Alligator mississippiensis: one gene and its partners. The protein of the gene in region 4 purifies or fractionates together with the protein of the main gene of each other region. This does not show direct contact. Links are inferred from orthologs where the notes say so. Each region holds a gene or a part of one and is shown on either strand. Other genes may lie near its edges.

Region 1 (6,875 bases), on a different chromosome or scaffold from region 4:
CATAAGGTAAACATTGATCTGGTTTGTCAAACATTGGCAGCTTTCTCCATCTCTCTCTGTGAAGACAGAGAGTTTTAAGGTCTTTTCTTTGGTGATGATGGATAGTTCTTCAAAAGGCTGGCTACGACTCCAGAAAACTACTACAATAAGCAATGTAACTCCATTAGTTCGTGTTTTAGGGAATTTAGCATTTTAAAAAAAATCATTAACATTGGGGAATCAAACATTCAAGGGTGAAGGTTCAGTCTTAATTCTCCAACTTCTCATTGTCTGAATGCAGATTCTCAACCCGGGTGTCAATGCTTTGAGATCCTTTTAGGGGTGTTGTGGGGTGCCACAGAACTGTTAAGAGTGCAAACATTATTTCACATGATAAACACAGATTTCCGAAAGGAATCCACAGTCTTAAAAACATTTTGATCATTTGTGGTCAGAGTTCTTTGCAATAGAATTACTCTACTGTTTTTCTGTAGTCAAAGTGAATGAAACAGAGCTGATATTCTCCAAGGGATTCTTCGAGTCCACCTTGGGGTGCCTTGAGTCTAAAAAGTTGAAGAACCACTGCCTTAAAGTGATAACAAAGACACAACATTTTAAAGTTATCTATCAATATAAGTGAGGTTTTTTTATCAAATGTATACAGGTAAGTTATGGGTATCATCTTCAAACTTAATTTAGTTCATTTAATAAATATGGAGACACAATTTGAAAGTTTTGTATGTTTTAATGGATTTTTAACCTTTATAGTTCATAAAAATAACTGAAACCCAAGCTTAATCTACATTAGAGTGCCATCAGCTAATAACATGGGTATGGGGGAAAAAAAAATTAGTGGTTGACACAGCTAGACTGGCAAAACCCCTTTTGTGGGCACAGCTGGCGTAATGCTTGCAGCAGAAAGACTGCCAGCATTCACTCTGGGGATTCTCATGCTATCATTCAAGTGATGGCAAGGCCCAGGAGTTGGGAATATCTGGCTGGCAGGCCGGATTTGGTCCACAAAAACCACTGAATCTAGTCTACAGATGTAGGGTTTTGGCTGTGAGGGAGCTCTCTCCATGCTGCCACAGAAACAAAAGCAGCAGCTGAGTCTTGGCACCCACCTGCTTCTGACTTGGGGTGGATTATCTAGGCCAGTGTTTCTCAACCCATGGGTCATGACTTAGAAGTGTGTCACAAGACTATATGAAAGGGTCACAAACAAGCTTTAAAACTGCATCAACAGTTTCAAAATGGATTTACCTGTAAAGAAAAACCATGGGAAACCAGGGCTGCTTGGGGCCCCCCATGCCCCTCCCACCCCACACACCCACCCCTTTCCCCATACCTTTAGGGGCTGGAACCTGGGGGCAGAGGGCAAGTCAGGAGTGAGGGGCACTGGGACAGGACTGGCTATCAATGTTTACAAGTGGGTCCTGGTACAAAAAAAGTTGAAAACCACTGGTCTAGCCCACACCCAGAATAGGCTGACTTATCCTACCCAGACTTACTCTGTTGATATGGCTACAAGGCCTTTGGGCTTTGCATCATTCTCACTTCTTGAGAGGCCACAATATGAGGCAGGAAGCAGAAGGCTAGAACTAAACAGTGAGAACAGAATCAAAGTTGTTCGATGTTGGTCATTTAGGTGGATTACTTGATAACCTTGGACAAGTTACCTAAACTCGCACCTTGATTTCCTCATCTACTAGGAAAACCCACGTGCAATGAAGTAACACTGCTCACTGCTTATTGTTTGTAATACACCAACTCAAATTGGAAGACATGATAGGACACAGTATTTGCAAGGCCCCTGCTACACATTACATATACAGGTTTCCCTCACTTTATTGCGTTTCTATACGTGCAAATTTACTCTTTTGCGATAACCCTTTTTATACCAAAAATTCGTTATATACAAGGTAAATTCACTCTTATGCAACTGGTGTGGTGGAAGCCTGCAGTCAGCTTTGTGTGATGCATTATGGGAGTGACGCACACCAAAATTTAGTCTCCTTAGTGTGGATGTTCCAGTTCTTGAAGCCTCACTCAGCTACCCCCATCCTCTCCCCACTGGTGTTGGAGGGTGATGAGAGCCTTGTGCCTGTTGATTCTCCTATGGATGTTACCCTGCCTATACATCCTACCAGCGATATGGAATCTGACACTGAAGACCCTTCAACACCTTCTCTGGGTCTGGGGGTCAGCACAGTCAAAGTCTTGGAATGCATCCCTATTTGTTACATTGTAAACTGTATTCCTTTTATGTGAATTCGAATTATGCACCATTTTCCAGGAACATACATACAGCATAAAGCTAGAGAAACCGGTATTACACAATTAACTACTCAACTGTGCAATAAATTTAGACTGGCCACACATGCCATTTGAAGACATAATCACACAATTAAAGTGACTGTCCAGCTATACAAAGAGCCAGCCAGGTACATTAGGTCCCACAAAGTCTCTCCCTAGAAGCCTCTCTGCAACCAGTTGGTACACTCCAATGTCTCTCTCTAGATCGACCCCCTCTGCCACCTGTTGCACTGTCTTGCTAGAGCCCCCTCCACCACCTGTTGGTACATCCCACAGGGTCTCTCACCAAAGCCCCGCCCCCAGCTGATACGCCCCAAGCGCATATACTCCGCAGCCGCTTGAGGCAGGAGGCTTCGGGTACCAGTGCCGCGCCTCCCCAGTCGCGGTGCTCGCGTTCTAGAGCCGTTTAAAGCCCGCGTCCGTCTTCCCTTCAACTGCCTGCTCCGCACGTGCGCGCAGGGAGCCGCGGCACCTGCACCGCCCCGCCCCGCCCCTCAGGCGGACTCGGGCCCGGGCGGGGCGGGACCTCCGGCCACGCCCGAAGCCGTTAGGAACCGGGGGACAAACCGCCGCTCCCTCTCGCCCCCCCGGACCCACCTCCAAGCGCAGGCCCCACCGGGCCGGGCCGGAGGGAACTGTTGCACTAAGGGGGGAGAGAGCTTCCGACACCTCCCAATTCACCTCCCCGAGCTCCGGCTCCTCCCGCCACCGCCTTCAAATCGGCACCTCACTTCCGGCCCTCTTCGTCCCGCCCCGAATGCTCTATTTTAGACAGCGGGCAAGTCTCGCGAGACGCCTCCGACGAGAAAGAAGCTGCGGCCGGTTGCCGTGGCGACGGGAGGGCGGGAAAGGAACTTTGCGGGGCTGGACCGCGTCGGTTCTGGCTTCTGTGTTGTGACGTCACCACCCCGCCGTCTTCCCGCCCCCAGCTCTCTCTCGGAGGCTTTCCCGCGTTCTCTTTTCCCAGCAGGCTGTGCAGTATCACCCCCATGGCCATGCCCCTAGGGTGGGGCATAGAGCGCCGCTGGGAGCCCGCACTTTGCTCCGTTTACACGTGCCTCCGCCTTAGAGCTGACCCATTTCCTTGGCCCGTGGGGCGGAGGGCGCTGTCCCCGTGGGTTTTCCCTTGGTTGTTCCCAGCTGGTCCAATCCAGTAAGCGAGCCCAAGCCTGCATGAAAGGCAATTACATAGGCCCCTGGGCCTTTCTGTTGGGAAATGGTTGCAGTTGCTCAGGCTAGGAGGAGGATCAGTGTTCAAATTACACTTTAAGTCTTGGGGGAGGGGGTGGTCTGCAAAAACAACTGGGCTGCCCATGCATGCCCTAATAAGATCAGAGCCCCCCCCCTTATGATTTTCAAATCTTACAGCAGGGCGCTCTCAGCCCTCTCCTGCTCCCCAGTAATTCAAACCTTGAGCAGGATGGGGAAGGGAAGGGCAAAAGTTAGTGGGACAGTAGCTTGCGTGGAGGGCAGGGATGCTCAGTGTCTGGCCTGTGACATTCAGCCCAGAGGGATCTCCCCTGGCTCCAAACATTTAACAGCAGGGTGCAGCAGATGCACGACACAGCCAGCTCCAGCCTCCTTGGGCCATTGCCCACACAGTGGGCTCAGTCAGGCCTGCTTCCCCACCTCCAGTCCAGATTGGGCTAGGATGCTCCCCCCCCACCCTTGCCAGGTTGCCTCCCTACCTGCATGTCTGGATCGGGGCTTCTCCACTACCCCTGCTCCCTCCCCATGTGTCTATATCAAGCTTGCTTCACCCCACCCTCCCCAACCATCTGTATCGGGGCCTCTGTCCTATCCCCATCCATCCCCAACCCAGGTGGATGGATCAGAGTTACGCTGAGCAACACCCCACAGCTGGATCAGGCCCACCAGATGCATCCTGCCTGGGGAGGGACCTGGCACTATGGGGCAAAAAGGTTGGTCACCACTTATGTAAGACCATCTTTTTTACAAAATTCAGGCATATCCACATGTTATTGAGGTCCTCTGGCTTTAAAGTCCCCTTATCTCTTTCTTGTGCCCTTCAGCTTCAAAATACTTGTAGTGTCACACCTAGATATTTCACCACTATGTTACTGGATCTTTCTTGGTAGGCCTAGCACTAGGAAGGAATTCTAGGGGCACATCCTCATCTCTTCCCCCACACAAATTTAAACTCACATTTTGGCCACTCAGTATAGCTGTAGGCCCTCTGTATTTTCACTTCAGATCCCTACTCCCAGCACCAATTTTCCTTATGTGATTGCATTTTATTTAAACCATATTACTAATGCTTTACAATGAAAGAAACCCAAAGGATTTAAGCTAAACCTATTGCTATGGCTGCCATTGACATCTGTGGTGCTGATAGTGGTCGTGATAGTTGTAGACTGCTCTGGTAATCTTTGAAATGTCAGGAATTCAGAACAGGGGCCTGCTAGAAAGTGTTCTTTCCTCTGTATATTGCCCACATGAAACAGTAGCAAAGTAAAAATAAAAGAATGATTCAGTGATATGAGGGGATGGAGAACGTTTCAGATGGAATTAAACTAGGCTACTGAAAGAGTAGGCTCACTTCCCCAGCTTTGAGGAGAGGAGGGAAGAAATATTGGAAGAACAAAGGAGTAATAAGGTTCTCGAACTCAACAGAAGTCACAAAGACCAGGAAAGCAATTCCCATATTAATAATCTGATAGTCTTCTACCAAAAATATCACAACTGGTGTAAGTAGTATTATACAGTGACAGTTGTAAACCTTAAAGCTGATAGGCACCTGGAGAAGATCCCCACTTTCTGGAGTTAGGTAGTCGTTGGTTCCTGCTCGGTGGATGATGAAGTTTAAAGACAAGATTTTCCAAAGACCAAAATACAGTTCCAAAAACTGAATTGCATTATGCAAGATGGGAACTAAGGCATTTTAGATACACAAAGTTGAGGTAGAGGTAAGGACCGTGAACTCCATGGAGGTAATGGAAAGCAGACTTAAGATGTGAAAAGAAAAAAGTGTATTGCCATGGATAATAAGATTATTGCAAAAGACTGAGATAAGAGAGATACAGTCAGAGACATAGAACAAAGAAGACTTTTAAAATATTTTAAATGCCTTTGAAGCATTCCTTAATGATGGTTTAGTCATCTGTTGATTGATAGATGAAGACAGGTGCAATCGAGGAATCAGAGAGTGAGTTGACAAGAGTTGCAGAGTTGGATATCATCCACACAGAAATTATGCCCCTTGTTGAAACTGGCAATAAGATCTCCCAGTGGGAGAAGACAGAATTCATGGAAAGAAAATAAAACATCTGTAAAAAGTACACAAGGTCACAGTCTTATGCGTGTTAGTGCAAGTTCAACATACCTTTGCTGACTTGAATAGGATGTGCTAAGATATACACAGTTTTAAGGGAGAGAGGAATCAGTCCCACTGTGTCTTCATTGATGCAGATAGCATTTTGGGCAAGATAATCAATTAACATAGACACCTGTGAACACTAGGAATAGGTACATTGGTTGACCCAAGGAAGGAGCTTGTATACACTGTATCTGGTCTCTTTCAACAGTATGTCTACCCCTGGAGACTTGCGCTTGCTAGAAATGTACAAGTCAAACCTGGCTGGCTAATGTTACAAAAAGCTTTAAAATGTACCCTTCCTGAGTACTTGTACTTAGACCTGACATTGGACTTCCCTTTCAAAACTCATCTTCTGATTACTATTCCTATATCTCAGCTGACTCAATAAATACGGGTACCATGGCATGTGTTTTCTATTTCAGTCTTAATGTGCAATTAACAGAAATGTGCTTCATTTTGTTCCAGCTTATGCAGAATGTATCCATCTTCTTCACTGAGAGATGACTTAAAGTAGACATTTGAATAATAGTAATAATTAATACAATATAGTGGCTGTTCTAAGAGAATATCTAATATCTGAAAGTTAAAATATGTCATTTACTCAAATCTAAGTCAACCATGAATTTAAGACGACCCCCCCACCCATAATTAGGTTCTATATATGGAAAATTTATAAATTTGTTATAATTTTCCAGGTATAGAATCTAATTATTGGAAGACTGTCTTAAATTTGTCCCCCTCTCATTGCTGCAGCAGGGAAAGCAGTGGTTGGGGGAGTCAGGTGGCTGGAGGATCATGTGCCCCCTTTGCCCTCTGCACCCGCCCCATTTCTTCCCCCTGCAGCCTTCCTGCCCCCTGTCCCCCACCACTGGCACCCTCTACCCCCAGCTTCCTGAAGTCTCTGTCCCTTCCCCCTGAAGTCTCTGTCCCTTCCCCCACTGCTCCCCATAGTTTCTGCTCCTTCATTTTCAGCTCCCTGCAGTCTCTGCCTTTTCCCCTTCCCCACATTTCTATTAGAAACTGCTCAGGCTCTGCTCCCTCCCTGGAGCACATCACGTGGGAGCACAGCCCTTGCCAGGCCATACAGCAGTATCAGCTCTGTTGACTGACCAGGCAAGGGATGGAGTTTCCATATACCTATTTATGGGATTGAATCCAGCCCAACTAGAGCCAAGCTGTGGTCGACAGTAAGGCGGGGAAAGCGGGCAGAGCAGGGAATCCAATGCTGCAGAGGGCAAGTGCA
Region 2 (7,667 bases), about 120 Mb from region 4:
TTGTCATGAACCTTTTCTCACATTTCCTCTCAAATTTCTGGCACAACAAAACTTTTGAGCACAATTTTGAAGTCAACTGTAAAAAAAAAAAAAACCAAACCAAAAACTTATTTTAATCGCACACAAAATCTTGAGCCTTACCTTTTAGCAGAGGCAGAGGCGTTAATTCAATAGGCTTGCCCTGAGACCTAAACTGGGAGGAGCTTTGCGACCTCTTCTGCCTGGCTTTTCTGACGGACTTCCGAGAAAATCCGTCTACTTTATCCACTGACGGAGGAGTGGTTGGTGCTGAGGACATATCCCTACTGAAAAGAAACAAGTGTTATAAGCGTATTCCCAATGCCCAGAAGTAGGTAAAGATTAAATGAATTTGCCAAGAGTCACTTTTGACCTCCTTCACATCCCTCCTAAAAACTCCTATCACCCACAAGGACTTGAAAAAATTAGTGGGCCAGATGGATAGGAGAGAGATGGTCTATTCATTTATTTACAGACTTTAAAAATAAATTCCTGGTACTATTGCAAACCTTTCATTTCCTCTCTCCTATTTTGTAGAATACTCACTTGTTACATATTTGAACTTAGGCCCAGATCCTGAAATCGGATCCAGGCAGATCGATTGCTGTATTGACATGGGGACCTGTTGGCTTCAAAAAGAGTCCATACAAATGCAGGGGTGATCTGTCAGTCAGCAAAAATCTGCCTACAGGACCACACGTTCTTTGGGTTGCCACAGGATCTCCTTCTTCCTTCCCTAAAGCACCTCTTCCTTAACACAGGGGTGGGCAAAATGTGGCCCAGGGGCTGAATGCGACACGTCAGGCCACTCTGTCTGGCCTGCGGGGCCTCTAAAAATTTAGAAAATTAATATTTATCTGCCCCTGGCTGGCTGTCATGTGGCCCTCGATGGCTCGTCAAAACTCAGTAAGCAGCCCTCCGCCCACAACAATTGCCCGCCCCTGCCTTAATGGGTGCACAAGCAAAATAATTAATTTTACCATCAAAACCATGGATGTTTAGTAGACAATTAATATACCATGGAGCACAAATAAAATAGGCAGACTGCCTTCCATAAAAATAAGTTGAAAAATGTATGAAAGTTTAGCCAACCAACATCATTAAGCTTCAAAACATCAACGAAACGTACTAAGCTTGACAGACTTACTACATTAGTCATTTATTCTCCACTTTAGAAATACCCAGCTTTTACACTGTGAATCTCTTTGCGTATCTCCAGTTTCACGTTCCAGTATTCCTGAGCAGATTCCATGCTACTTTTACAAAATTACAAGGAAATACTGAAAGAGTTGATTCAACAACCAGTCTCTTGCTTTTTGCCAGCCTTGCTGTCTTCTCTGTCAAAAAGTCCCGTGGTATCTTCTCAGTGAAAAAGAAAGATGTAAGGGGAAGAGATTTAGATATGAATCCTACCAGTGCTTATGTACGTTTAACTTTGCTGCTCTGAGCAGTATTTCAATGGCAACACGCACGGTAATCGAGTGAAGCTTACATGTAAGCACATGCAAAAGTGGGGGCTTAAAGCACGAGCTTGGAAGGTGTTAATCACCCCAAACGACTGCTGGCTTCCATTTATCAGAGGGTCACCTACTGCTACTGGGAGCCGATGTTACAGAGCACCTTCAAATAGCTATTGTGTTGAGGGACCGGTCTACCGCAGACAAATACAATAGATTTAAATCAACTCGTGTGATTTACGCTTTAGAAGGAGGCTCTTATTATTTTCTTTATGACGGTATAAGCGTGCGTAGAAAGACGACGGGTTTGCTGCGAGGCCGCGTGCGGGCACGTAACAAAGTCCGGGTCCGCCGAAAACATCAAACTCCTCGCTTCAAAGGACCGAGCGGCATCCGAGGATGCCAAGCTGGGACGCTGGCATCATCTTTAAAAAAGAGACCATTTATCCTCTTTCGTTTTTTGCCCCCGGGGCGGGCGCTGCTTCGCGACCGCCCCGACGGCTGCGCCCTGCATGGCGCGCCCGGGCCGTGGCGGGCTTCGAGGCTCCGAAGAGATGCTCCGGAGACAGGTGCCGCCTCGCCGGGATGGGCAGGGGGTCTGCCCCACGGTGCGCTCGCCCCCTGGCCCGCCGGCCCTGCCAGGGGAAGGGGACCTGGGGGCTCCCTGAGGGGCGGAGGCAGGAGGAGCCGCCCTCACCTGGCCCTCGCCCTCGCCTTGCCCCAGCCTCGCCCGCTCCCCTCCCCGGCGGGCCGGGGGCGTCTGCAGCTCCTCCCCCGGGGGCAGCGTTACCTTGGCCCTCCTGGCAGAGAAGGCGGAGGGGGCGGCGCGGGGGAGCGGTGCGGTGCGGGCCGGGCCGGGCCGGGCGCGGCGGCGGGGCGGGAGGCGGCGGCGGCGGCGGCGGGTGGAGGCGGCAGGCCTGGGCCCGGTGCGGGAGGCGGCGGCGGCCTGGCTGCGCGGCCCGCGGCCTCTCTCACATTCCCGGCGGAGGCTGCGCGCGGCGGGGGCGAGGCGGCGGCGGCGGTGGCAGCGGCGGGTCCGGGGCGGGCGCGGGCTCCTATTGTCAGCGGCGCGGGGCTCCGGCCATGGCACTCGCGCTCGCGCTCTCACAGCACCCGCTCCTCCTCCTCCCTCCCCCCGCCCGCCCGCTCGCTCGCTCGCTCACAACCCAACGTGCTGCCGCCGCCGCGACGTGACGTGACGTGACGCCACGCGCCGCCTCGTTGACGCCCCCGCCATGGCCGCCGTGGGGCTGGCGGCGGTTGTCTTCCCTCCTTGCCCGGCGGCCTGTCCGCCCCAGGCGCTGGGGCCTCCCTGGGGCTGGAGGAAGTGGGGTCGGCCCGGCGCTGCCTGCGGCTCCTCCGTGCCCCGGCCTCGCCGCCCCCTCGGGCGGGCACTTACGCCGGGCGCAGGGGGTCGCGAGCCGGCCTCGAGCCGGTTCGTCCGCGGGCCGAGACGGAGCCAACCCTGGATCGGGAGAGGCAGGCGCGTGAGTGCGGTGGCCCAGGCCGGAAGCCGGGGGGCGCTAGAGCAGCCTCCCTGCTGGGCTGGAGCAGACGAGGGGCGGCTGCGGGGAGGCGCAAAGCATCCTGGGATGCTGGGGGACTGCGAGTTAACTTGCCTCTGGAGGGGATCGGGGACAGACGTTCAATAAACCAATTTAATCTAAATCCGCCGAGTCTGGTGTCGCGTCTATCCGCGTTAACTTTCACTGGTTTCAGCCGTTTTTTTTAAAGCGATTTATGTGCCCTGAACTTCAGGGCTAGGGACGGGCATGACACGCAAACCGGTGTGAATGATCAGAAACTGGTTTAAATCTGTAACAGAACAGATGTTCGGCGCGCATAAACCAGCTTGAAAATGGCGGAAACTGGTTTGAAATGAACCTAGTTGGATGTAGTATCAGACTTAACTGATTTGGCTCAAACCTGTTTCTGATCCCTTAAACCGGTTTACGTGTAATGTCTGTCCCTAGCTCCAGTACACGATCACCCTACAGCAGGGGTGGGCCAGATGCGGCCCGCCAGGCCACTCTATCCAGCCCACAAGGCCCCCCAAAAAACTTAGAAAATTAATATTTATCTGCCCCTGGCTGCCTGTCATGTGGCCCTTGATGGCTTGCCAAAACTCAGTAAGCGGCCCTCCGCCCGAAACAATTGCCCGCCCCTGCCCTACAGTCCCTCTGCAGCTGCTCTTTCTCTTACATCAGCTCCCGCAGACGCTGGGGCTAGGGACAGACATTACACACAAACCAGTTTAAGGGATCAGAAACTGGTTAAAACCTGTAACAAATGTTCAGTGCACATAACCCAGTTTGAAAATGGCTGAAACCAGTTTGAGATGCAGCTGGTTGAATGTAGTATCAGACTTAACTGATTTGGATCAAGCCAGTTTATGCAATGTCTGTCCCAGACCCCTTGCTGGTTTAAGATAAGCCAGACAACCCCAGCATGCTCTGGGCTCCATTGCAGAGCTAGCCTCTCCCCTCTGCTCCCTGGCTGGAGCTCAGCACAAACGTGCAGACACAGATTTTTGTGTCTCTTGTCACTGGTGTAACTAACCCCATCTAGCTACAAAGGTGCAATCCCCACTTAAATCAACTTTGTGTCCTGTGGTACTTTGCAGCAATAAGGTAAACTGGTTGAGTTTGCCCTAAAAATGTGATCTGCTTTAGTTGTGTGCTAGACCAGTTTTTCACTTAATGCCCTGTTCTGTGAATCAGTTACATATGTCACTTAAATTAAGTTCTCCAAATTAACCAGATTTATTTATTCAGTGTCCTTCATACCAAGATTGAGCTAGATTCCTGTGCACACAAAAGCTACATGAAACACAATCTGTTCGTGAAGGAAGATGTTCTGGGTTGCTTAAAGGGTGAAATAACATAGACTACTATTTAGAGAACCCTTGGCCACTGGCCTACTAGGTGACATTTGACCATTTATTTGAAATATTCCTGCCTCAGTATCCCCATCTAAAAAGTGGAGCCATGTATTTACCTCGTAGTGTAAAGTGCTTTGTGATGTATAGATTTGAAGTGCTATGTAAATGTTTGTTGCTAAAAAAAAAAAAAAAAAAATAAGTTCCTACTGATAACAGGACTACCAAAATGCACTTTTTTTCAGGTGCTGATTCTACTAATCTTCCTGTCGTGCCATTTTTATAAAATTGTTAAAGAGCTTATTGCTACAAATTTACACCAGAAAGTGGGTAGATGCTTTATATACATGCCATTTAACAAAACACTATGCATGATGATGCATTTTAACAGCAACAGGCATGTTTCTTATCAAATGACTTCTTATAATACTCAAGATGTACCGATGAACCCTTCAAGAATACATGAGTCTTAACAGGTTTTGGTTTTTTTTAATTTTAAATTTTTTTTTTTCCCTTTTTGTATCGTCTGGTCAGCAAACTTTCTACCACCTTGGGTTTTTTGTGCTCAGATTGTTTTATTGCTAATTTTCTGGTCATTTCCCATGACTACTTATATTCCTTTAACAGAAGAAGTCTGTATTCATTCACATGTTTAAGGGGCATTCAGTCTGTAGCTGGAGAGTCCCACGCTCATGAAAATCTGCTGATATTTTAAAGGGATGTTACTTCTTTCTCCTCTTCAAACCCTTGGTCAACATTACAAAATGTATTGTTTCTGAAAAGCTGAAGTGTACGGCCTTCAGGCAGAAGGAAGTAGAAAATTTCACAAATACATGTTCGTTTGTTGAGTGTCATGTAGCAAGAAATAAAATGATTTAACTCAACAAGTAATGCTCAGATGTCATTAACGCTTCAAGGAAAAGCTTGTACACATGTATAAGTCTTCCAATTGTCCTCCAAGAATTAAAAAAAGCAAATGGATGCGTCTTGGGACTGTAATTTAGAACATTTACAATGTACCAGGTGATAACCCAGTGGGGAACACTAAAACTACTGCCCAGAAGGGGCTGCACCGTCTGGGAGCATGAACAAAACCAAAAAACCCTACATACTTTCTTGCTGCCAAGTTTAACTCTCTACTAACTTTTAAAACAGATTTTCAAAGAAAATGTTTAAAAGAGCATTCCTTAACACCAGATTTACAAGGCACAAGTGCTCTATTGAGCAGAATCTGTTTATCTCAGCACCCATAAAACTAGAAAAATACTGGTGGGCTCTTCCCTACATAGAAACTGTTCTGCACCAGTGAGTCCCAGGTGTGGTCCACCTCAAGGTTCAAGAAAGTGGCTCAAGAGGCATGCTTTAAGGTTTACAGCCTCATCTGTCATTCAGAAAATGTGTTAATAGAAAAAAAATGAAGCCACAGAGCCTTTCTTCCAAGCCTGGCACAAGGGACAAACACCTTGGTGGTCTTTATGTAGAGACTTTTTAAAGACAAGGTTGCTGGATTGATAAGTTTGTGAAAGTCTTTCTGTTGGGTAATAAACAGAATTTTATTCAGCTGGAGCTTGTGTTGTCTCAAATGTGTGTCTATAGTCCGAGTTATTTAATGGTTTACTAAAGGATCTTCAATACGCTGAAAGGAGGATGGTCACTGGGAATTATTTGTACATGTCCTGCTTACTACTACTTACTGGAACAGCGAAAGACTTGATATCCCCAGGGAACTAATGATTCGGACCATCAAATAAAAGACTAGAAAGAAAGTGTCCTCCAGGAATCAGTAACATCATCTCAAGAACTGAATCAGCATGTAAACCAGGCACTTCTACACGACAACAGAAATTGCAACAAAGGTAAACAAACAGTGAAAGAGTGCTCTCTTAAATAATTAACCTGCCTTGTCAATTTAAGGGTACTAGTACCAAGGAGTATTATTTTAGCATTAGGCATCTTGAAGCAAATTCATCCCTAGAGTTGGGCAGTTGTAGTTAATCTTCTTACACCGAAGATGACTTGCCCCTTATATTTTTAGTTTTGACTTTATTCTGGAGATTTGTTTTAGTGAGTGTTGCACCCATTTTTTTAATGTGTGTTATTACAGTGTCTTGTTTCCATCATGATAGATGCAGTAGAAGCTGCTGTGTGGGGTTCTGAATACAGCCTATACCTGCCATTTATACATGTGGAGCGGGCATTTGAAGAGTATAGCTGTCGCTGGCAGAAGTGCAATCAATGCCTAATTGTTTTGGGGTTTTTTAGATACTAGGAGGGAAGCTTATTCCTATACAGTCAATGCAGTGAGGTAGGAGATTGCTCACCTGTGTGGCTGGATGTCCACCACCTTCTGTCTGGACACTTCTCTCACTTTCTAGATCGTACAGTTTCTTATGCGGAACCCTTTTTTCTCTCTAATTTGATTCCCTGCTTCTGGCACTCCTCTCACATTTTTCCATTTCTGATTAAGTTTCCTTTTCTGCCTGTCGTCTTTGTCCTCGTCAGGTTCTGCTGAGCCTTCTTCCGGCCTCCTCTTCTTCTCACCTGTCGTTCTTCAACTGCCTCTGCCTCCAGCATTTCAGTCCTTCTCTGGCCTAAAAGATGCCCCTAAACAGGTCAACTGGCTGGTTGAAATCCCATATGGGAAAAGAATACCAACCCATATAATTATGTTCTCCCTTATTTATTACTGGAACATGTCTCGATTGCAATTGAAACAAGAGGCGATCTACACTTTGATTTCCCTCCTCTTTCATGTGAAGGCTCTGTTTTCTTTTTAGCTGTGAAGTTTAAGACGCATGGCTAAGCAGAGTTTACATTCTTTAGTGGTTATTATCCTCAACCAGCAAAACCACCATCTGCAGATGAATCATCTTATTTTTGCTCTGATATTTCTTTCGCGGTTTAACTGCTTCCATCCATGCTTTACACACGTGTACCCCACCAGTATTTACATTTCCCCATGTCTTTGCTCCCTTAATTTTTAATGAGTTAGTGACCTACTCATTTGTCTACATCATCCAAGCTTATTACATCCTTATTTCTTAGTTTCCTACTTTTACTGAAGATTGAGAGCATGTTCCTACCTGCTCTTGTCCCTTTTCCGGGTCGGTGAAGCAGCCAGCCAAGATTATTCTTACAGCATAGATAAATTTCAAGATGCGTATATGCGGGGTGTTGTTGTTTGGGAGTAGCTGCCATTCCCAAGAGCTCTCTCAAAAGCATTTCCTTCTGTGTTGTAGACCAGGACTATTGGACTTTTGAGTGTCTGAGGACCACAGTCCTGCCAGCCGCAGGCCATGGGGACTGCACAGGGC
Region 3 (6,878 bases), about 120 Mb from region 4:
TAATGGTACAATAAAAAATAATTTAATTTTAGCTTGCTGGGGAATGTAAATTATTTGTTTTGTTCTCACAGTTTGGAAGTCACCAAATAGAGTACATAGAATTCTCTCTCCTAAAATAACTTCTAAAAACCTCAGCCAACTAATTATATACTATTCTACAGCAGGCCTTGAAAGAGCCAATCGTTATTGTTGGTGAATGAGAAACTTTCCTTATCAAGTACAGTGAGATGGAAGACAAGGTGAATCTGATATCTTTTATTAGACCAACCCAAATGGTTGGAGAATAGTTATTAAGCAAGCTTTCGGGTTCAAAAACCCTTCGTCAGGCTAAGGAAGTGTCAGCAGTCGGTGTGTGCTCTTCCTGGATGGAATGAAAAGTAAAGAAGCCAGGGACTGGGCTGGGCTGGGCTGGGCTGGGCTGGGGAGTCAGTTGCCAGGCAGATCGTAATGTATCAAAAATCCAAAGTCTATGTTTAGTCCATGATCTCTAGTATCCAGCAGGTTGATGAAATGGAGCTCATAGGCTCGTCTCTGGGAAGTGCTGTGTAAGTTTCCCTTGAGGATCAGGACTGAGAGATTGGAGAGAGAGTGGCCCTCCTGTGAGAAATGTGCCCTCACCGGTAATTGGGTGTTTCTGTCTTTGATGGATTTCCGGTGTGCATTCATTCCGGTGTGCAGTTGCTGTCTGGTCTCTCCTACATATCTTCCATCAGGGCATTTGGTGCATTGGATGAGGTATATCACATTCCTGGAGGTGCAGCTGTAAGATCCTGGGATGCTGATGGCTCTGTTGTGGGGTGTAGTAATAGTGGAGGTGGTGGAGATGTGGGGGCAGGTTTTGCATTTCTTGTCATGGCACGGTCTGGATCCTTTTGGTGTGTTCTGGGGTTGAGGAAGTTTGCTTCTGGTGATGAGGTTGGCAAGGTTCGGTGCTTGTCTGAAGGCTAGGATGGGTGGCTCTGGGAAGATCTTTTTTAAGAATAGGGTCTCTTTCTAATATAGGTTGCAATTTTTTGAGGATTTTCCATACAGGTTCAAGGGATGGGTGATAGGTCATAACCAGCGGTGTGCGATTTGTGGGTGTTTTTCTTCTGTACTGCAGCAGTTCTTCACGTGGTATCCAGGTGGCTCTTTCAAACGTGCGATCTACCTCTCTGGAGGAGTGTCCTTGCTGGGTGAAAGCTTTTTTAAGATTGGTGAGGTGGCGATCTCGGGTGTTCTCTTCAGTACAGATGCGGTGGTATCTGAGGGCTTGGCTGTATATCACAGCTTTTTTGGTGTGTTTCGGGTGATTGCTGGTTCTGTGCAGGTATGTATGTTGGTCTGTGGGTTTCTTGTATACTGTGGTCTGTATTTTACCCTTCTAGATACTGATCATTGTGTCTAAAAAGGGGATGTTGGTGCTGGAGTATTCTAAAGAAAGTCGGATGGAGGGATGGTGACTGTTGAATTTCTGGTGGAACTCAATCAGAGATTGCAGGTTCTCACTCCAAATGATGAAGATGTCATCGATGTATCCTAGGTATAGTAAGGGTTTGATGGTGCAGTTCTTGAGGAAGTCTTCCAGGTGGCTCATAAAAAGGTTGGCATACTGTGGGGCCATTTTAGTGCCCATAGCTGTTCCCATCATTTGGAGGAAGTGTTATTAGACGTGAAATTTTTGTGTGTGAGGATGAAGTGTATAAGCTCAGTAATGTCTTTGGGTCTGTATTCTGGGTTGTAATCTTGTTCCTGTAGATATGTAAGGCAGGCTTGGATGCCATCCTGGTGTGGGATGTTGGTATATAGGCTGGTAATGTCCATGGTGGCTAGGAGTAAGGCCTAAATTTCTGTCCAGAAAAATACCCTAATAAAATACTTCAATGTGGAGAACTAGAAGAATTCTTCCAACACCTGCGCCTCAAAGAATATTTCCACGACCAAACTGAACCCACTCCCAACAACTCATCCTCTGACAACATTCAGGAAAGGATCAATGTCAAAAAGCCCAAAAAAATATCAGATTGGACACCTCGCAGTAGACGAAACCCTAACCTTGACCGCTACATTGACACCAACTGCTGAAGCTTCCTTAGCCTGACGAAGGGTTTTTGAACCCGAAAGCTTGCTTAATAACTATTCTCCAACCATTTGGGTTGGTCTAATAAAAGATATCAAATTCACCCAAGGAACCTTGTCTGCCTATGTCCTTAGACCAACACGGCTACAACCCAAACCCCTGTGAGATGGAAGATGCATTTTCATTAATGTTTCTATCATGTGGTCACATACACACAAAACCCCCAAACTTGCCAAACATTATTGGATTAGTCCAGTCTTTCTGCATCTATATTTGGCCTGATTTATTGAGTCCGGTTTATTCAGCCTGGCTTATTCAGTCCTTCTGCATCTATATTCAGCCTGGTTTAATGCCCCAGGAACAGCAAACAGCACTACATTTTCACTGAACTACTTCTCAGGACTTGATGGCTACCAGCGAAACTATCAGTTAATTCTGTTCCATTGCTGGGGAAAAGCTCAGTAACAGCAAACACGCTGGACTGACGCAGGGACGAGGACTAAAAAAAAATGTTAGTGGAAGTAGGACTGGAAGAGACACGTTAAGTCACTGAGTCTAACCCCCTGCTACATAACCCCCTTCTTAAGTGGATCAAGCTCCATCATAAAATGCTTTTACCCCCATTAGCCCTATTCAGAGGCTACTGTGTAGACACCGTATACTAAAGTTACTCACAGGCAACAAGGTCTTTGGGTAATAAAAGTTTTTTTCCAACTATTTTTTTAAGGAACATTTGGATGCTTATCTGCTGGGATCCTTTGACCTTAGCTGACTTTCTGCCCTTTGGGCAGGGGGCTGGACCCAATGATCTTATGAGGTCCCTTCTAGCCCTAATGTCTATGAAATTTATGAAAAGATATTGAATTTACCACCTTGTCTGCATATATCCTTAGACCAACACAGCTACAGCCTACACCCCTGACAGTCACTCACAGGCACAGCAGAAGAGAGAGCATCCCCGCCCCCAGAAATATTAACACAGGGACTGGGAGTGTGGGGAAAGGATAACGCTGAAGCCAGCTCCTTAGTCCCAGTTCCTTGTTTCCAACTCATCACAGACACAATTAAAGGCTGGCAGCGATGAACTGGACAAGCGAAAGAGTTCGAACGTGACGAGAAATAATCCCAGCCGGATCTCAACTCTTTATTCAGGGCTGCGTACTTGAAACACGACACGATTTCACATTTGTATTAGTAAATATACTAATAAAAAACTTATTAGTCAATATACTAATAACAACAAAAAACTCTTCGGCTTGTCGACCTCATCGCGACCGGTCTTCCATGGCGCGCAAGATCGGCGTTGAAAAAGGAACCGGGAATCAGGAACCGACAACTTCAGCCGCCCTCCCGGGGAAGGGACGGGCAGCAGCACAGCGCCTCCCCGCGCCGAAAGAGCGGAGCAGGGCCGGACCCCTCGCGGCGGCGGAGCTGGAGCTGGAGCCGGAGCCAAGCCGGGCCCGGCCGGGCCGGGCCGGGCCGGGTGCGAAGAGCAGCAACAGCAGCCGCCGCCGCCCCGGGCGCAGACCGCCCCCTGCGCGGGGAAGAGCAGCGCTAGCTCTCCCATCAGGGCGCGCGCGGGAAGCCGGGGGCGGCCGGCCGGCTGCGACCCCGCCTCCCGGGCAAGGGGTGGGGCGGGGCGACCCCGCCCAGCCGCCAGCTCCGGAGTGTGACGTTGCCGCGGGGACCCCGCCCCCGGTGACGGGAAGGGGGAACGTTGGTGCCACGTGACGCGCAGCAGCCAATGGCGAGGCGGCGTGCCAGCCCTGCCGGGCGCAAGGGAGGGGTGTGGGTGGGAGGGGGAAGAGGCCGCGGCCGCCGCCGGGAGCCGGAGCGGGGGGAGCGGCAGCGCGGAGCGGGGACCCCGGAGGCCGCGCCGCTGCGGCCCGGCGCTGACCGCCGGCCATGCCGAATAAAAACAAGAAGGAGAAAGTGAGGGGGGCCGGGGGGGCAGCGCGGAGCGAGCCCGTGGCGGGGAGGGGGCGCGGGCCCCCCGGGGGAGGGGCGAGGAGCTGCCTACGGAGGCTGGCGAGGGACGCGGAGGGGCGTCCCGCTCCCGGCGCTAGGGGGAGGCGGAGCCTAATCCCGGGGATGCTGGCGGGGAGCTCCTTGCCTCAGTTTCCCCGCGAGGGGTGGTGCCCAAGGAAGGGCTAGGGCTGGGACGAGCACAGCCCTGCTCGGCAGCAGCCGGGGCCCCCTTCACCCGCCTCGTGCCGTTATTTCTAATGTCAAAATCAGCCCCCAGCCCCGAGTCTGGCTGCAGGAGGGGAGTCGCAGCATGCCACGGGCCTCAGTTTCCCCAGGGTTTGTGGTGGGAGGTGACTTGGGCACAACCCGCCTCCTCCTCCTCCCTTCAGGGCTGCCCTGAGGTAACCAGGTCCAGCCTGTTCCATCCCTGGTCCGGTGCAAGCGACTTGCCCTAGTTGCCCTGGCTTCATGGGTGAGGCTGGTGCAGCCCCGGGGGGGAACCTGCCTTTTTCCGCCAAGGCGAGAAATGGGGCAGAAGCTGGAAGCGCTGTGACGAGCCTTCTTCATTTGCAGGAGCCTGTGAAATCGGGGAAGAGCGGGAAGAGCGGCAAAGATGGGCAGGATAACCAAGAGCATGAGGTAAATGTCATGAAGGCGCGGCATCTTCCCAAACGTGACGCGGTCTTCCCAGATAATGAACGGAAGGAAGCTGCCTCGTACGGAGCGCGGCCGAGTTCCTGGTGATGGGACGGGGAGGGGACCCGCGCGGAGGTCAGGAAACTATGAAGGTTCCTTTGAGGGAGGACAAGAGATCTGTCGAGCTGCTTGCAACTCATGGGAAACGCTCTCAAGGTGTTTCTCGAATTAAAATAGACTGGGTGGACTTCGTGGCTTGCTTTGTGCTTTCAAGAACCCATCGCTTTTCTTCTTTTGCTTTTGTCTGCCTTCATCAGCTATTTGGGGCATAACTCTTATCCTTGCCTTAGCCTTCTAGTCAGGTAATGGGCTTGCCTTTTTTTTTTAAAGCTGCCTACTCAGATTTTTTCACCTGTTAGTTTATCTTCCTCCACAGTTTCCAAAAGCTAGCATCTAGTTCAAGAGAGCCCATCAGTAGCCTGTTTCAAGCTGGACTTGAATGTTTCTAGTTCGTAGCATCCACCTTTCTGTATCTAATGATTTTGCTTTTTATAACCATCTACTGAAGTGTTTCACTTCTGACTGACAGTTCTGCTATTGCTGCTGCTTTGTTCCTTTTATCATCTTGCTGCCTTGCTCTCAGCTCTGCCCACCAGCTAGGTATGATGGTTTCAAAGGGGTCAATTAAATTGTTACTCACACTCCTTCCCACAGAACCTGAAAACATCCCATTAATAGAATCTCTCTGTTTGGAAATTCCAAACCCTGTAATGTTTTAGTGAGTTCTGAAATTCCTTAAAATACATTCACGCTAACCTGAACATATACTTTCACTGAAAAATCCCATGTCTTCCATGTTCCATGGGTGTGTTTGTTATGTCTTTGCTCAAAACATTTCTTTGCTGCATTATGATGTAAACAAACTGTTTGCATTTTTATCCTGCAGAGCAAGTGCTCTATTTGTAGGGAGCTTCATTGAGATTTTATCTGTGTTGCAGATAAAAATATTGTATAAGGTGCATCTTACCAGTATTAGTTTATTCATAGCAAACTGCTAAGTAACCAAATCATAAATGCTCACTGATTAATCTGCATTAAGTTTTGAAATTTGGTCAAGGGAAATAGGCTTTAACAGTAGCTGAAGTTTCTCAATATGAAATAACATTTGCAATAGTTTGCAATAATTTCATTTTATAAATACTCAGTCTCCCCTGCTTGAGTTGCCTAGCTTCAACTTAATTGTATGACATTTAAAGAAACACTTTTTTTTTTTTTTTACTAGGGTTGCACTTCATTAGCAATTATGACAAAAAAAGGTTTTTAAAATCAGTGTCTTTATAGTATATAACTGGACTAGTTTATCCAAGTTGCCCTTATAGAAGAGATTTCTAGGAACTTTTTAATTGACACTTGTTGCTGAGATCAGCTTTCATTTTTTTCCCAATTACTGTGAGCAAACTATAACAAGTTCTCAAATTTTAAGTAAGAGGTGAGAGTTTCAAACACTGAATAGCTTGCATGTGTGGTTTGTTGTGATTTCTTACTGTATTTGCTAATCAAATTTCTGGGTTATTTCTATATGTGAAATTTCCTGCCAGGCAAACCTTGCTGAGGAAGAGCATGCTGTTCTGCTTCAGCATGTAGCTTTTTGTAAAGTAATATATGGAAGAGCAACCCAGACACCATCTTTTTAGGTCCCTGAGGATGCCTTGTGGTACAGGAGGGGGAGAGTGGGATGGGAAAGGAACTGGAATACTGAAAAGGATGTAGTCTGAAAATGTGATGTGCTTTAGCATCTCCAACCAGCATGGTCTAACCAAAAGATCTTGAAGACATGAACACTTTAATGTATCAGCAACATTATTGACAGAATAATTGTATTATAGTATGATATAAACTTAACATTTTTAGAATAAACATTTAGTATACATTTTGGTTACAATCTGCTATGTACATGCAGAGAAAATAGCTTACTGATCAAAGGCAGGTCCTGCCAGACCAACCTGATGGCCTTTTATGACCAGGTAACTAAATCCCTGGATGATAGTGTCGCTGTGGACGTAGTCTTTCTGGACTTTAAGAAGGCTTTTGACACTGTCTCTCACCCCATTCTCATTAATAAATTGAGTGACTGTGGCATTGATGCCTACACAGTTGGATGGGTCAAAAATTGGCTGATGGGGCGCACCCAGAGAGTGGTGGTGGACGGGTTGTA
Region 4 (6,837 bases):
TAATGAAGTAAGAAAAGTATTTTCCCTCTTTATAACAGCACTCAAGGTATTTGAAGACTATGTCTCCCACCTTAATCACCTTTGCTGCAAGTTAAAGATGCCTAGTTCTCTCAACCTTTCCTTGTATACCTTGTCTTCCAAACCATTTATCATTTTATTGCCCACCACCCTTCCTTCTACATATCCTTTTTAAAAATGTGGAGCCCAAAACTGTACATTCTAGGTGAGGCCTAACCAGTGCCAGATAGAGTAGCACTATCATCCTTCTTACACCCTATATTTCTGTTGCTGCAAGCCAAATTGCATTTTTTTGTAGTGCGTGACATCCTGACTCGTACCAAGTCTGTAACCCACCAGGGCCAAAAAAACCTACTCTTTCCAGGGCTACCATCAAGCCAGTTATCACCCATTCTGTATTTGTGCTTTTGATTATTCTTCCCTACATGTAGCATCTTGCATTTGTCAGTATTGAACTCCATCCTTTTGTTGTTCCTACTTTTGCCACAAATGTTTGTTTCTACGTCCATTAAATTTCATTCCAGTATGAAGAATGTCTACTGCCTAATTACTGGTTTGCAGGCACAAAAGACTGCCAATCTTAAGATTTGTTCACAGACCTATATCAATTTATGAAGTACGTTAAGAACTAAAATGGAATTTAAAAGCTATTTTGTGAGGTCAACGAGCATAGTGGACATTACTAAGTCCCCATCACCGACTTGGATAAAAGAGAATTAAAGGCAACTGGAGTCATACTATCCTATATCCCCACAGGTGAGGGCATGAAAGTCTAAGCAGTTGGCTCAAAAGTTGCTTGCATGAGACACATAGAGACAGAGACAATTAAAGGTACCACAGAAATAGAATTCTGTCCCCATAACTATTACCATGCCAAGGAAGATTCTTATATCACCAGTGATAGACAAGCCTCCAAAGTTCAGCCTGTTTTTCATAACTAGCACAGGAAGCAGTTTTATAGCATCCAATATTTATTCATTAGTATTTTGTCTTGCAGGTAACTACAAGCCTCAACTAGAAATTATAGTCAAATTATGCTATGGGCTGTTTGCAACCCCTGTTGAGGTGACCAAAAAAGTTGATGAAATACTCTAACAATTATAAGTTATTTCCCCCTGAATTATATGTGAACTTTGTTCACTTGGCTTAGTCATCATCCAATTAAAAATTCCTTATCTACCTAGCTTTAAGTTACAAGACTAAACATTAGTTGGCTACCACAGTCTTAGGACAATAGACCTGGTGGGGAGAACTAGTCAACACCATTAACTGAAAAGAAATAAAAGTATAGTAATTAAACATTTTTCAAAGTTTAAGTAAATGTTATATACAAATTAAGATAAGTTTAAAGAAACCTAATTACCACAAGTATTTTTCTTTGTACTTTGAGCAGGTATTCAAAACCTTACTTATGGAGAAAAAAAAAAATCATATCATGCTCAAGCTTACCGCAAGGACAAAATAATTTTTCTGAAGCTTTGCTCACAATACAATTTAAATAAAAGTAAATGGTTTAAGAAATTTGGCACTTATGGCAGTAACCTTTGAGGAGATGAATTTTGACAGAACAAGCCATCAACTTTCCATATAAAAGGTTAATTAATTAAAAAGCCCCATGCATAAGGCATATCTCAACAAATTAAAATTAAACTATTAGCAATTGTACATAATTACTAAGATTTACAAGCCATAAACAGGGTCTTTTGACACTAATTCACCTAAACCTTCAACAGAGCAATTGTGACAAAAGATAACTCATAACTATTTTTCCTTTATAGCCAGTTGTATGCAATAATTCTGTTGGTTTTAACTTTCCTAAAAACCCCCCAAAATGACACACATAAGATCGTTTAGCTCTGACTTTTAAAAGGTTTCACTACTGGCTGCTGGCTTGGACTACCGAGTTGATTCCAATGCAGACTACCACAGGAGCATTGGAAGGGCCTGAATAACCAGGGCAGAGAGACCCAGAAATAAGCACCCCCCATTCTTCTCTACAGGATACTAAAAAGGTAGTTGGGGTACTCAAACAGCCTCAGCTTTCCAACGTAGCCTGTGATAAACAGAGGGTATAAGACAGCACAAACATGTCTACAAATGAATTCTATGCAAATGTTATGCCACAGACCTCTAAATACCTCAAGCGCACTGTATCATTGACAGAGTTAAGGACATTTGGGTACCTTAGTTGGGCTCTTGCCTAGCAAAAGTTTCTTTGATTTCTTTTGAGCAACACTGTGCTGTAGACAGAACCTGACTTGCATTCACACGACCTGGAGACTAGTCTCAGCTCAGCTGCTGGCTAACCTATGTCACTTTGCCTTGGCCTCCCCTTCTGCGACACAGGGAGAAACGCACACAGAGGACCTGGAGAAGAGCCTCCCTATCCTGACATACCCACACAGCAGGCAAGGCGAAAGAGACGTGCCATGATGTGGAGCCACAGTGCTGAATGTCTGAGTTTAGAGGGTTTTTTGCATCGGGACGAGGGCAGGATCCAGTCCTCACCTGAGCTTGTTTCTCCGGGCACCGCGCGTCTGTACCCGGCCCCTCAAAGCCGGACCGCGGCTCTCTGCGCTTCTCCCTCAGCCCCCGCCGGCTCGGGCGGGAATGCCCTTCCAGCGGGGTGACGCGGCGCTGGCGGCTGGGGGTGCTGCTGCCCCGGCCGGGAAGGAAGCGCGGATCTCCCGCTGCAGCGGCGGGGGAACCCGGCCCACAGGCGCGCAGATCCAACGGCAGCGGCGCGGAGTGTCGGGGCGGGGCAAGGCCGCACTCACCTTCTCGCAGAGGCTGCGGACCTGGCTCTCGCTCAGCTGCTTGCACTCATTGAGCTGCTCGATCCACTGGTCCAGCTCCTTGGCGAAGCCCTTCTCCTCCATGGCGGCGGCGCTGCCCGCCGCGGGCTCCCGCGCGGCCCAGGCCTAGCCAACGCTCACGGCCAACGACGGCGGCACGAAGCCCGCTCCGCACCCGGTCTCGGCCCGCGCCGCGTAATGGCTGCCGCCGCGCTGCGCACTTCCGGCCCCTCCTCCGCCCGGCGCGGCGCACTTTCCGGCCCGCCCGCGGCGGCGCAGGAGATAGAGGCCGCTTCCGTAAGCGCATGCGCGCGCTCCGACCCGTCCTGTGCCCAGGGAGCCCGCAGGGCAATGGCTCAGCTGTACCTTGGGCCGCGGTCTCTACCGGTCGTCCTTTTGCCACCTGCAGAGCTGACCCCGCACCTCTCCTTCCCTTCATGTCACGCTGCACCCATCAAGGGCCCTACTGCCCCTTCCGCCCGCACCACGACTCTTCTAAACACACCGTGGTGGGCAATTATTTGGGCTGGAGGACCTCTTTGGGAGTTTTGGTGGGCACCCCCTCCCGCGGCCACAGCTCACCGAAGCTTCCTAAGTGCTCTGCCCCGCGTTCAGGCCGCAAGCAGGCAGGGAGCGGCAGCCAGCAGGAGCACGATGGGTGGGCGATGGCAGTGTGGGGCCAGGGCCCCCGGCAGAGCCGGGACCGCTCCTTGCATACCGCTACCATGGGCACCCGTTCCCTGGGCAGGGGCATGTGGGGAGCGGATTGCCGATCGTGGCTCTGCCCCAGGCCTGGCCCCACATTGTCATGCCCAGGGTCTCCATGGAGACTGGCCAGGACCCGTGCAGACAGGGCACATGGCTGGGCAGATGGGCTGGGGCTGCTGCCCTGTGGGGAACAGCATCTGGGAGGAGGACGGGCTGGGGGCAGGGCTGGGGCTGGGATCAGGACTGCAGGGCCACGGCAGCACGGGGTCAGGGCCCAGGCCTGGGGCAGAGCTGTAATCTGCTCCCTGCATGCCTCTGCCTGGGGAACCGCAGGGACCCCATCGCAGGGACATGCAGGCAGTGGCTTGTGGCTCTGCCCTTGGCTCTGCCCCTGCACTGCGAGCACCCTATGGTCCTGGTTCTGGATGCTCCCTGCCTGGCAGCAGCCCCATCACATGCACTCAGCAGCCTGCCCTGCCCACACAGGTCCGGGCTGGTTTCCGTGGAGACCCCACCTGCATCCAGCTGCTGCAGGGGCTGCTGGGAAGTGAGTCCAGCTGCTGTGCTGCCCCAGCCCTGCGGTGCACCCAGGGGCAGCAGAACTGGCCACATAAGCCATGGCCCAGTCTTCCTCCCACACCTGGATCAGGAGGGGCTGAAAGACCTGCCATGAGCCAGACAAAATCCCTTGGCAGGCTGGATTTGACCTGTGGTCTGAATTTTGGCCACCCTTGCTCTAAACACACCAATGCACCTCTCTGCCACCCACAGCCCCATGCCCAAACTAGGGCTGTCCAACTTCTGAGTGGCTTAGGACTTCATGCTGTACAGACTCTCCAGGCCCCCCAACTGTGTGGGCCCAGCAGGCTGCCCTGCCCAGTTCCCAGGTTTAGAGGAAGTGGCAGGAAGTAGAAGCTGGAGGGGAGCCCCGAGACCCCCAATAGCCATAGCTGTGGTAGCAGCGGAAGCAGCAGCAGGAGTGATGGGGGAGCTGTGCCTTGGTTAGAGCCCATGGGCTACCAATTGGACAACTCTGTCCTAAACTATAGCCTCACCACACATCCCTTTACACTAAGTCAGTTTTCTTCTCTAAGTGTGCTCCACAGCCCATTTCTCCTCCCAAGGTACATCACCAACCATAACACGCATTTTTCCTCCCCCCATTTCTTATACATGCATCCTCACTACAGACCCCAATACTAATGCAACTATTTAAGCTCTGTCACAAACCCCCAATGTTCATGGAACGTCATGCATGTTTTCCTGAATTAGATTTGCTTTATGGCATGTACAGATAACTTGAGAGAAGCTGTACCTGGCTTTTGTCATTCATATGTTTGTATGAATTATGGTATTTGATATGAATGTATTCTTATATTTTTATAGTATTACTTAGGAAGGGTTGACTAAGAATTTGCATCAGAGTTGGCTAAGCTTAATCATTGGCCGGATAGGCCTTTGTGGACTAATCCCAGACACTTGCGTCTGGCCATTCCAAAGATGAACTGACATTTTAAAGGGAAGAGTAGCCAAGGTAACACCTAAAAACAATCTAATAGGAAGATTTGTATTTCTCACAGTAGGGAGAATAAGACAAAGTTTATAATGTACTAAGGTAATTGAAAACCAAGGATATGGAATTAGCAGTCTTCATATCTGGTATTTCCTTGTTATAGTTAGATCAGGAATCACACCCAACCTGCCAGTCAGATACCCAGAAGCAGGAAGTTGTATGCACAATATATGTTTCCTGAAAATTCAGTAGAGAAGTGTAAACCATCTGATAAGGACAAGTATTTAAGAGTTGCCATGGCAACTAAAGTTTCTCAGGCATTGGGTGCTCTGGTCCCTCCTGTGGCCAACATGACCTAGGGCTAGGCAACATGAGCTCACAGATTAGCAGAGACTTTGGCTTGGTCATAAGTAGAAGCTGGAGGGGCTAAGATGCAGAGAAAAGAATAAATCAGAGATCTTAGTTATTGGTTTATTTTCATATCTCTGTCTGTATGCAGCATACAGTTACTGATTCTTCTGTTTTCATTTGTTTTTCTAATAAATCTTTTTGTTATCTTTTATAACTTACCGTCTGTGTGGTAACTATGAGTTCAGAGCATTTGAGCAAACAGGTAGGTCTTTTCTCCAAAGGAGAGGGTCAGTATTTTCTAAGCACATGCTAGATAATAAGTATGATTCTTAAGCTGGCAAAACTTCCTCAGCCAAGAGCTAATAGGACCTGGGTGAGATTGGTAAAGTTAAGGCACCCTTGGGTGGTCCCAGTAGTCAAGCAGCAGATGCCAGAGAGGGGTTTGGAGCTGAAGGAGACACCTGAAGGTATAAGAGTACCTCAGAGCATCTCAAAGGTGTAGTTGACAGAATCCATGTGTGTGTGTCAGAAGGCCTCCATCCACAGGTGCTCTACCATTTATACACACAACTCCCTCCTCCCTTGTTTTAGGAAACATAGTGCTTGAAAGGACATGTGTCACCGAGTGTAACCCACAGCCATTGCAAGGCCCTCTCACATTATCTCCATAGGTGGTAGAAGGCCAGAGCTAATAGGGCTTAGCCCCCTCAAACGCAAGGCAGCAGGTAGGGCTTCAGGGCAGCCCAGATGCAGGCTCTGGGCTGCTGCAGCAGAGAGGAGAGGGATGTGCACACTCAGATATGCAGCTAGGATCGCAGCCCCAGTGTGTGGCTGCCCAGCACAGCAGGCAAGTTTCAGCCTACTTCCTTTGTGAAGGGGAAGGAGTTGGGGGGGGCGAACAGATCAGTGTGGGAGGGAGTAGAGCAGGGACAGGGGGTGGGGTGAATGGGGCCCTGGCCAGGCTGGGTCGTGGGACAATCAGAGCCTGGCGGCACATCCAGGGACATGGGTGGATGCACATGGTGTCGCATTGTTCCCAGTGCAGCTGCAGCAAGGAGCAAAGCCCAGCACTCAGTGGCAGCTGCCTCTGCCCCGCACATAGATGAGGGGGCACATGCCACCTGGGCCTGCACCAAGGTGCACACAATGACAGGATCCCGCTTGCGCCCCTGGACGAGCAGCCCAAGTTCCGATTGTCCCACCACCCAACCCCACTGGGGCCCCATTCATCCCAGCCTCTGCCCCACTCCCTCCCTCACCACTGGGGCTTCAATCTGCTCCCCCATGGTCTGCACACATGCTCAGCCCTCCCCGTCCTCCAAATAATTTTTTCTCCCTCTATGATTATCCCCTTCATAAACATACTAAGCTCCATCTTTAAAGTAGATATTTTCCTTTGCCCCCCACTATACCCATTGGAAATTTGTTTCAGAATCTTACTGCTCTAATGGT

Evidence for each region.
Region 1: the proteins of PPP2CB (region 4) and PPP2R3B purify together in Homo sapiens (affinity purification with mass spectrometry; 3 studies listed by BioGRID and IntAct, counting the BioPlex papers as one, with this or other methods). This does not show direct contact. The link is inferred for Alligator mississippiensis from reciprocal best matches to the Homo sapiens genes PPP2CB and PPP2R3B.
Region 2: the proteins of PPP2CB (region 4) and PPP2R5E purify together in Homo sapiens (affinity purification with mass spectrometry; 5 studies listed by BioGRID and IntAct, counting the BioPlex papers as one, with this or other methods). This does not show direct contact. The link is inferred for Alligator mississippiensis from reciprocal best matches to the Homo sapiens genes PPP2CB and PPP2R5E.
Region 3: the proteins of PPP2CB (region 4) and PPP2R5C purify together in Homo sapiens (affinity purification with mass spectrometry; 3 studies listed by BioGRID and IntAct, counting the BioPlex papers as one, with this or other methods). This does not show direct contact. The link is inferred for Alligator mississippiensis from reciprocal best matches to the Homo sapiens genes PPP2CB and PPP2R5C.

What each region holds. Positions count from the first base shown.
Region 1 is NC_081824.1:337,986,108-337,992,982, reverse strand, and holds the start of PPP2R3B (serine/threonine-protein phosphatase 2A regulatory subunit B'' subunit beta), read right to left. Parts: upstream 3,016-6,875; 5' UTR 2,893-3,015; intron 2,692-2,892; exon of another isoform or gene 2,582-2,691; intron 1,581-2,581; 5' UTR 1,491-1,580; intron 1-1,490. UniProt on the Homo sapiens protein: The B regulatory subunit might modulate substrate selectivity and catalytic activity, and might also direct the localization of the catalytic enzyme to a particular subcellular compartment.
Region 2 is NC_081825.1:292,128,049-292,135,715, reverse strand, and holds the start of PPP2R5E (serine/threonine-protein phosphatase 2A 56 kDa regulatory subunit epsilon isoform), read right to left. Parts: upstream 3,014-7,667; 5' UTR 2,875-3,013; intron 2,594-2,874; exon of another isoform or gene 2,266-2,593; intron 306-2,265; 5' UTR 299-305; coding exon 142-298; intron 1-141. UniProt on the Homo sapiens protein: The B regulatory subunit might modulate substrate selectivity and catalytic activity, and might also direct the localization of the catalytic enzyme to a particular subcellular compartment.
Region 3 is NC_081825.1:284,640,190-284,647,067, forward strand, and holds the start of PPP2R5C (serine/threonine-protein phosphatase 2A 56 kDa regulatory subunit gamma isoform), read left to right. Parts: upstream 1-3,873; 5' UTR 3,874-3,964; coding exon 3,965-3,991; intron 3,992-4,600; coding exon 4,601-4,666; intron 4,667-6,878.
Region 4 is NC_081825.1:168,614,439-168,621,275, forward strand, and holds the start of PPP2CB (serine/threonine-protein phosphatase 2A catalytic subunit beta isoform), read right to left. Parts: upstream 3,025-6,837; 5' UTR 2,898-3,024; coding exon 2,796-2,897; intron 1-2,795.